2 linked regions of the Mus musculus genome follow. The protein of the gene in region 1 purifies or fractionates together with the protein of each later gene. This does not show direct contact. Links are inferred from orthologs where the notes say so. Each region holds a gene or a part of one and is shown on either strand. Other genes may lie near its edges.

What was found.
Region 2: the proteins of Prc1 (region 1) and Plk1 purify together in Homo sapiens (affinity purification with western blotting; 4 studies listed by BioGRID and IntAct, with this or other methods). This does not show direct contact. The link is inferred for Mus musculus from reciprocal best matches to the Homo sapiens genes PRC1 and PLK1.

What each region holds. Positions count from the first base shown.
Region 1 is NC_000073.6:80,293,295-80,297,301, reverse strand, and holds the start of Prc1 (protein regulator of cytokinesis 1), read right to left. Parts: upstream 2,827-4,007; 5' UTR 2,722-2,826; coding exon 2,711-2,721; exon of another isoform or gene 2,354-2,710; intron 1,302-2,353; exon of another isoform or gene 1,255-1,301; intron 1-1,254. UniProt on the Homo sapiens protein: Key regulator of cytokinesis that cross-links antiparrallel microtubules at an average distance of 35 nM. Essential for controlling the spatiotemporal formation of the midzone and successful cytokinesis.
Region 2 is NC_000073.6:122,158,156-122,162,285, forward strand, and holds the start of Plk1 (serine/threonine-protein kinase PLK1), read left to right. Parts: upstream 1-1,279; 5' UTR 1,280-1,387; coding exon 1,388-1,795; intron 1,796-2,380; coding exon 2,381-2,549; intron 2,550-3,351; coding exon 3,352-3,496; intron 3,497-4,130. UniProt on the Homo sapiens protein: Serine/threonine-protein kinase that performs several important functions throughout M phase of the cell cycle, including the regulation of centrosome maturation and spindle assembly, the removal of cohesins from chromosome arms, the inactivation of anaphase-promoting complex/cyclosome (APC/C) inhibitors, and the regulation of mitotic exit and cytokinesis.

The sequences.
Region 1 (4,007 bases):
CCATTTATAGATTTCATTTGGAGAGATGTGGGCTCAAATTCTTTTCCCATTGCACACTCCCCCCCCCCCAAACAGCATCTGAAAGTGAGGAGCACAGGGAATCAGAGCCAGTCCTTTCACTCGGCTGCTTTATTTTTGAGACAGGAGCTCACCAATGTGGCTCTGGCTGGCGTGGAACTCAGAGAGCCACTTGTACAGGGGTTAGAGGTATGTGCCACTATGCCCTGTCCTTCCCATTTAATGAATAACTGTGAATGAGGGACAAATGAAGAGGATGGAGCTGGAGAGGAGATGGCTCAGACGTTAAGAGCACTGGCTGCTCTCCCAGAGGACTTGAGTTTAATTCTTTTTCTCATAAAGGAAAACAATTTTTTTTTTGTTTTTTGGTTTTTTTGTTTTTCGAGACAGGGTTTCTCTGTGTAGCCCTGGCTATCCTGGAACTCACTTTGTAGACCAGGCTGGCCTCAAACTCAGAAATACGACTGCCTCTGCCTTCCGAGTGCTAGGATTAAAGGCGTGCGCTACCACGCCCAGGTAAAGGAAAATAATTAATTGAGCTGGCTTAGTGCTTCCCCCATCCCAGCCCTCCAAAAAGGAACCACATATAGTGGTGTACTCCTTTAATCCCCACACTCAGAAGTACTCAGAAGGCAGGGGCAGCTGCATCTCTGGGGTTGAGGCCAGCCTGGCCTACACAGGGAGTTCCAGGGCAGCCAGAGCTGTGTACAGACCCTGTTTTAAAAGCACCCTACCCTAATAAATAAAATAAAGAAATCTTTTTAAAATACAACATTGAGACATAAATTCAAGGATCTCAAATCCGACTGAAACCAAGACAAGGGATTGGTGTGGCCTTCCTGCAATCTCAACAAGTGTGTCTCAGAAGTTTTTTAAAAAGCAGAAAATAGCCAGGCATGGTGGCGTATGCCTTTAATCCCAGCACTTGGGAGGCAGAGGCAGGTGGATTTCTGTTTGAGGCCAGCCTGGTCTACAAAATGAGTTCCAAGACAGCCAGGGCTACACAGAGAAACCCTGTCTCGAAAAACAAAACAAAAAACAAAACAAAAGCAGAAAATACTTGGACAAGCCATACTGGAAGACTTTATTTTCTTGGGGGAGGGGCGTGGTCTCTTATAAGCTGCTCTGGCCTTGAACCTCCCACCTCTACCTCCCAAGACAGTGGGGGGGATAGATGTGCCCCTCACCCAGCTGTCTGGCTTTCCTATTTTGAAATAGGATCTCTTTATATTGCAGATGTCTGGAACTCCCTGTCTTGAACTCCTGAGATCTGTAGATTACAGGTGAGGGTAATCATATCCAAATATACTCTGAATACAAATTTCTATTCAGTGTAAGTTAGGATTTTACTAGTCTTCATAATGCACCATTAACCCCAGAAGGGCTTAATGAATAACGTCATTCAGATGGGAATATCTGAAATCCTTAGCCTTGTACTCAATTTCTTTTCACAATACTACTTGTCAGTTGTTTTCATTCTATTCCCAGACTCTTGAGGCCAAGTATCTGGGGGTAAAAAAAATGATCAAAATCTATAATCACAAAACCAAGATTCTTAGAAATTACAAAGCCTTGTCACCCAACTCGTTGCAGAAAATTATTTTATAAATTCGAAAACGGCATTCAGCCTTTTACTCAAAGAGTCAGTTCTGATTGGATTTCCAATCGGGCACTCCCAAGCAGTGCCCGGGAATTTTCTTTTTAATAGAGGATTCTTTTTATTTATTTTCATAGGTGCGTCGGTGTTTTTCCTAGATGTATGTCTGTATGTGAGGGTGTCAAAAATCACCTGGAACTGGAGTTAAAGACAGTTGTGAGCTGCCTTGTGAGTGCTGGGAAATTGAACCCACCTCCTCTGGGAGAGCAATCAGTGCTTTTAGCCGCTAAACCATCTCTCTAACCCCGCCTGGGAATCTTAAAACGACCGGAAAAGAATTCGAATTTGTTAACTTGCAAGGAAATAAAGCCTTTCTTTCTTTCTTTCTTTTTTTTTTTTTTTTTTTTTTTTTTTTTTTTTTTTTTGTGACAGGGTTTCTCTGTGTAACCCTGGCTGTCCTGGAACTCACTCTGTAGCCCTGGCTATCCTCGAACTCAGAAATCCGCCTGCCTCCGCCTCCCAAGTGGTGGGATTAAAGGCGTGTGCCACCACTGGCCGGCTCAAGCCGTCTTCCTAACTCAAGTAAAAACGCGGAACTGTAAGACACGAAGAAAAAACGATACATTTAAAACTTTAAGGTTAAAAAAACTTCAGGGCTTTTTGTACTGTCTCACTCCGTAGCCCAGGTTAGTCTTAAACTACATCTCCTAGGCTAAACTCGAATCGATTTTGTTCTAGCCTCCCGAGCAATGCGATTACAGACTATACTCAAGAGATGAGAAGCCCACACCATTACATGCTCAGCGTTTACACAGAGAAGAGGCCGAGTAGCCGCGACTTGCGGCGGCACCTGAGCTCGGCCGCCAGCTACGCCAGGCCTGAGACAAACCCACCCCGGCCTCGAGGAAGCGTGTCAACCCCGCGCTGTCCCCGCTGCTCGCCCCGCTAGTGGCCTCGGGCACAGATGCCCTCCGGAGCCGGCTTCGAGCGCCCCAGCCACAGACATCGGTGCCTGAAGACCGGCGAACCCAGCTTGTCGAACCTGGTACCAGACCCGCACCTCAGTAATGGGTCCCGCCCCTAAGAGACCCGCACCTTCTCCTCATGGTGGACGCTCCAAGCTGTCCAGAATCGAGACCCTCCACTTGCCACGCGCGGGACGGAGAACGGTAACCAGCCGCAGCAGACTTCACCCGGAGTCCGTCTCCACTCTCGAGCCGTTGGACCCCGCGGAATTCAAACCGAGCCAGAGGCGGTGCCAAATGACAATTGGTTACCGCGTCCGCCACTCACGGAGCCCCGCCCTCGTCCCGCCCCTCCTGCGAAGGGCTGCTGCCTAGGCCTGGGATACAGAGACCGCCTAGGGCGTGGGAAGCGCTTGCACGGGGAGCGTGCGGGCCTCAATATGCGCATGCGTGCACCTATGCCCGCCTCAAGGGTGGGGTGTAGGGGTGTGGCCGATGATGTCACCGGTACCCACTGAGTTGCTGCCGTTGGGTTTCAAATTTTTGTGCTTCCTGAGAAGTATTGGGTAGACTGCCAGAACAGCTCGACTTCTTGCTACTCTCCAATGTCCCAAGAGGAGCAGGGACTAGCAGGAAAGCTTAGAAGGAAAAAAAAACCAGGCTCTTGGTCCTGGTACCTTAGTGGACAAGTTTATCGCATTTAATCATTAGAACACACCTGTTAATAATGATCATCACTATCCTGAAGAAAAAGATTTGAGTAGCTTTTCCAGAACGTAGGCGGCAGAGACAGGACAGGGAAATAGTTTGGGCTACAGGAAAAAACTGACTTGCCCAATTTAGCTGTGAGCAAATGGTGATTTGGGCTTTGTTTTTCTTGCACATTATAAGATTTAGGTAAATCAGGAAAACTCCACAATTTGAACATGACATCAAAGTATTTGTGTAGCCGGGCGTGGTGGCGCACGCCTTTAATACCAGCACTTGGGAGGCAGAGGCAGGCGGATTTCTGAGTTCGAGGCCAGCCTGGTCCGCAAAGTGAGTTCCAGGACAGCCAGGGCTACACAGAGAAACCCTGTCTCGAAAAACCAAAACAAACAAACAAACAAACAAAAAACAAAAACAAAAAACAACCAAAGTATTTGTGTGTCCTTTTCTTCCCACTGACCCATAGCATCTGTATCCCATTTTCAATGATTTACTATTACCTAATACACTGCTATGGGAGTATCTCCTTTGCTACTCAGACTAAAATTTGTAATAAAGCTGAGATGAATTTCTTTTTTGCTACCTCCTCCAAAATGATTTGTAGAAGTGTAATTATTGAATTCTCCTTTGCGAAGAGGTACTTATTAACCTATCTTCTGCACCAAACTTTACCTGGAGTATCCTTGTTACCCACAGCACTGGTGATTAGCAATGCGCTT
Region 2 (4,130 bases), about 42 Mb from region 1:
TCAATCCAGCAATTGGATCTTGCTAAGACCCTCCTGGGGGAACTAGAGCAACAACAGCTTCTAACGGAAGGTATCACTTAAGTGCCCAGATAGGCAGGGGGGCAAAGAGGGTGTCTGGGAACAGTGACCAGAGCTGGCCGTTTTTTTCTATGAAAAGCCACACGCCTGCTCTGTGTGGCCACTCTTTTTACATGTTGTAAATCCATTTTTTTTTTTTTTTCGAGACAGGGTTTCTCTGTATAGCTCTGGCTGTCCTGGAACTCACTTTGTAGACCAGGCTGGCCTTGAACTCAGAAATCCGCCTGCCTCCCCAGTGCTGGGATTAAAGGTGTGTGCCATTACGCCCCGGCTCATTTTTTTTTTTTCCTAAGTGAAGGCTGAACGGACACTTCGGCAGGGCAGACTTGGCCTTGGTATACCGGCATGCTAGCACTCTTCTAACCAGCTACCCCCCCACCTCTGACTAAAAAATTAATTTTTTCTATTTGGGGCTCTGGGCCACACAACTTGGAACAACCCAGGTAACCTTGCATCGCGGGGCAGACGTCCGGTGTTTCTTACATATCACAGGGCATAGGAATCATCTGAAGGTCTTGTTTGACCGGCAGGTCATGCCTGGGAAGTTTCTTTCCTTTGGGGTTAGTGGAGCGGTAGCTGAGGCTGATCTCGGCTAACTTGTAATCCTGAACCCACGCCCCTCCTTTGCCTTCTTAGGGAATTCCAGGTGCTGCAGATGCTGCTGGCCTCCTGCGTTGTTCAAGAGAAGGGTTGAGTTACTTCTCAGGGGCTGGGAGCCCCTAGTGCCACAGAGGAGATCGGTCCGTTGCGCCGTGAAGGTGCATCTGCCTGCTGAGCTTGCTCAGTTTTGGGTTTATTTAGGCTAGCCGGGGAGAGGGCTGTCCACCGCGGAGGCGGTGCACTCTCAAGCTACCGGTTGGCCTGGAGTTTCAGTTCTAGAAGGCCGGGTCCGGTGGAGGAAGGTGTTAGATCTTAACAGTTAGGAGAAGCCCCTGGAGGAGGCGCAGGTGAACCACATGAGCACGCCCCAGCCGAGGAGCAGAAAGCAGGACAGAATCCTGTTCTTCTAGGGATCTTCACGTAGTTGCTTCGTTCCTGGTTTCCCAGGCAATCCTGAGCAAACGCAGTCCTCCAGTCCCTGCCCATTAAAAATTTCGCCGGCAAGATCGGAGTTTAAAGGCGGCTGCGCCGTAGAGCACTCCCATGGTGCCGCGCGCTGGGCGGGTTTGTATTTTAAATCCCCGCGGCCAATCAGCAACGCGCAGGCCCTTGTAACGTTCCCAGCGCCGCGTTTGAATTCGGGGAGGAGCGGAGCAGAGCAGGACCCTCTGCACCGACTCAGCCAGGTTCGTGGAGCAACTTCGGCATCATGAATGCAGCGGCCAAAGCTGGAAAGCTGGCTCGAGCACCAGCCGACCTCGGGAAAGGTGGGGTTCCGGGAGATGCAGTTCCCGGTGCCCCAGTGGCCGCCCCGCTGGCGAAAGAAATTCCGGAGGTCCTAGTGGACCCACGCAGCCGGCGGCAGTATGTACGGGGGCGCTTTCTGGGTAAAGGAGGCTTCGCCAAATGCTTCGAGATCTCAGACGCAGACACAAAAGAGGTGTTCGCAGGCAAGATCGTGCCTAAGTCTTTGCTGCTCAAGCCCCACCAGAAGGAGAAGATGTCTATGGAGATCTCAATTCACCGCAGCCTAGCACACCAACACGTCGTAGGCTTCCATGACTTTTTTGAGGACAGCGACTTTGTATTTGTAGTTTTGGAGCTCTGTCGCAGGAGGGTGAGTGTTTCAGTCGCAGTGCTGGGGCTCCCACACCTGGAACTTGCTGACAAAGGGGCACCGAGGTTTTGGAGTGACCTAGAGGAGTGGTTGGGTTTCAAACTTTTATGGAAAGGCTTCTAGCGAGGGTACTTGGCACTCCGAACTGCTGAGGCCGGGGTTCTGGGGAAACCGAGACCAGATCCTGTTGCTATTAGGGATGGAGCTCCCAGACGCAAGGCAGCGAGTCGGTACAGGAAATGGATTCATAAAGTGGCTAAGGAAGGGTCCCAGGCTTGGTGTGCCACGCACCTCTAACTTCCGGAGTGGGGCAGGGTCGGGGGAGGGGGCGGCTGTTTGGAGTCAGATTTTAGAGCTTTCAGGAAAGGGAGGGAATCTCCTGCCAGGAGGAAGCCCTGGGTAGGGGAGTCGAGAGTGGGGTTGAGAGAAGACTCAGGAGAGGGTCTGGTGAATGATAGTGACCAACCAGTGTATGGGTAGAACTATCAGAAACCTGCTAAGACTCTCCACTCCGAGCGTCTAGTCCTAGCCACATCCAGCTAGCCACTCTTCTTGGACTTCAGTGACCTCTTTCTCCCTCCTCAGTCCCTCCTGGAGCTGCACAAGAGGAGGAAGGCACTGACCGAGCCTGAGGCCCGCTACTACCTGCGACAGATAGTCCTGGGCTGCCAGTACCTGCACCGCAATCAGGTCATTCACAGGGACCTCAAGCTGGGCAACCTCTTCCTGAACGAGGATCTGGAGGTGAAAATAGGTGAGGTGCTGGGCCTTCGGGTGTCTGGTGTCAGGGCAGGAGGGGACAAGGAGGGGAAGGTGAGGAAATAGAGATGCTGCCCTCTAGTTAGGAAGTGGAAAGTGTGTGTGTGTGTGTGTGTGTGTGTGTGTGTGTTTGTGTGTGTGTGACACTTTCCTTGCCTTTTTTTTAGATGCATTGGTGTTTATGCCTCAACTCAGTAGTTTTGAACTTGGGGCCCCTCCCCCAAATGCTTCTCTATAACCTAGCACTGAGCCAGACCCTCAGCCAATTTCAGGTCTGGACTTACGCTGTAGAGTATGGCAGGCAGCATCTCCTCAGGTGTCTCTTTACTAAGCTGAAAAACCTGCCCCCTTGAGTCTGATTGGCCAGTCCCTAGATCCCTGTCACTTCTCCACACACTTGCCCAGCAGCAGTCACGAAGATCATCTACTTGATTCCCCAGTGCATCTAATTCTGCTATCCTGTGCATTTTAAATTTCATTTACTTATGAATGGAGACAGGCTAACTTCAAGGAGTCAGTTCTTTCTTTCCACTGTGTGGGTCCCAGGATCGACGTAGATCATGTTATCAGTCTTGGCAGCAAGCCCCTTTACCTCCTGAGCCACCTTAACCACCGTAACCCTGCTATCTAAAGAGGTGTGTGGGAGGCTGGCTAGGGCCAGTACAGTGGAAGGGTTCAGGGACTCTGGGGCCTCAAGCCACTAGTTCTCAATGCTCAGGATCAAAACAGAGCTGCCTGCAACCACAGACAGCCCGGGCTTAGCAGCTGAGCACCCTCTCTTCTTTCCTCTGTCCCAGGGGATTTTGGCTTGGCAACCAAAGTGGAATATGAAGGGGAACGAAAGAAGACCTTGTGTGGCACTCCTAACTACATAGCTCCTGAGGTGCTGAGCAAGAAGGGACACAGTTTTGAGGTGGATGTGTGGTCCATTGGGTGCATCATGTAAGTTGGCAATGGCCTTGGCTCCTGGGCCTCAGCAGGGCTTTCTGAGGCTTCTCACCCAGTTGACTTTGCCATGTGAATCTTTCTACCTTATAGAAAGGCTGTTTTAGTGGACAGGCTGTCCCACATGAAACCCTGCTTTTCATATATCAGTCTGGCGTAGGCTGTTGGATTCCTGTAACTTGACTTGTTGGTCCAGGGAAGGGATCAAAAAGTCCCTGAACTTTTCCTCCTGGCCCTTGGTGCTTACTAAAAGTATGCACAGATCCAAACCATCAACACCTGAGAGCTTGTTAGGAATTCAGAATTTCAGATCTGAACCTGGGTTTAATACAATCCCTGCCTGACTTTCCATGGAGCATTGGAAGTCCTGCTGAGTGCTGAAGGGAGAACTAGGCCAGTAGAAAGCCTGGCGATAGGCAGAACCACCACGGTGGCCTGTGGTGGATAGCAGTGGCCTCTGGGGCACTGGGAGAGTCCTCGGTCACTGTAGGCCAGAGCCGTCAATTCCTGGCCCCTTGGTACACAGGTGTTGTCACTTGCATCCTTCTGAGGGCTTGTCCCAGCCTTTGGTTGCTGTGTCACTGGACTGACTTGGAGAGCATCCCCGTCCGTTCCCAGTCAGTAAGTCCAG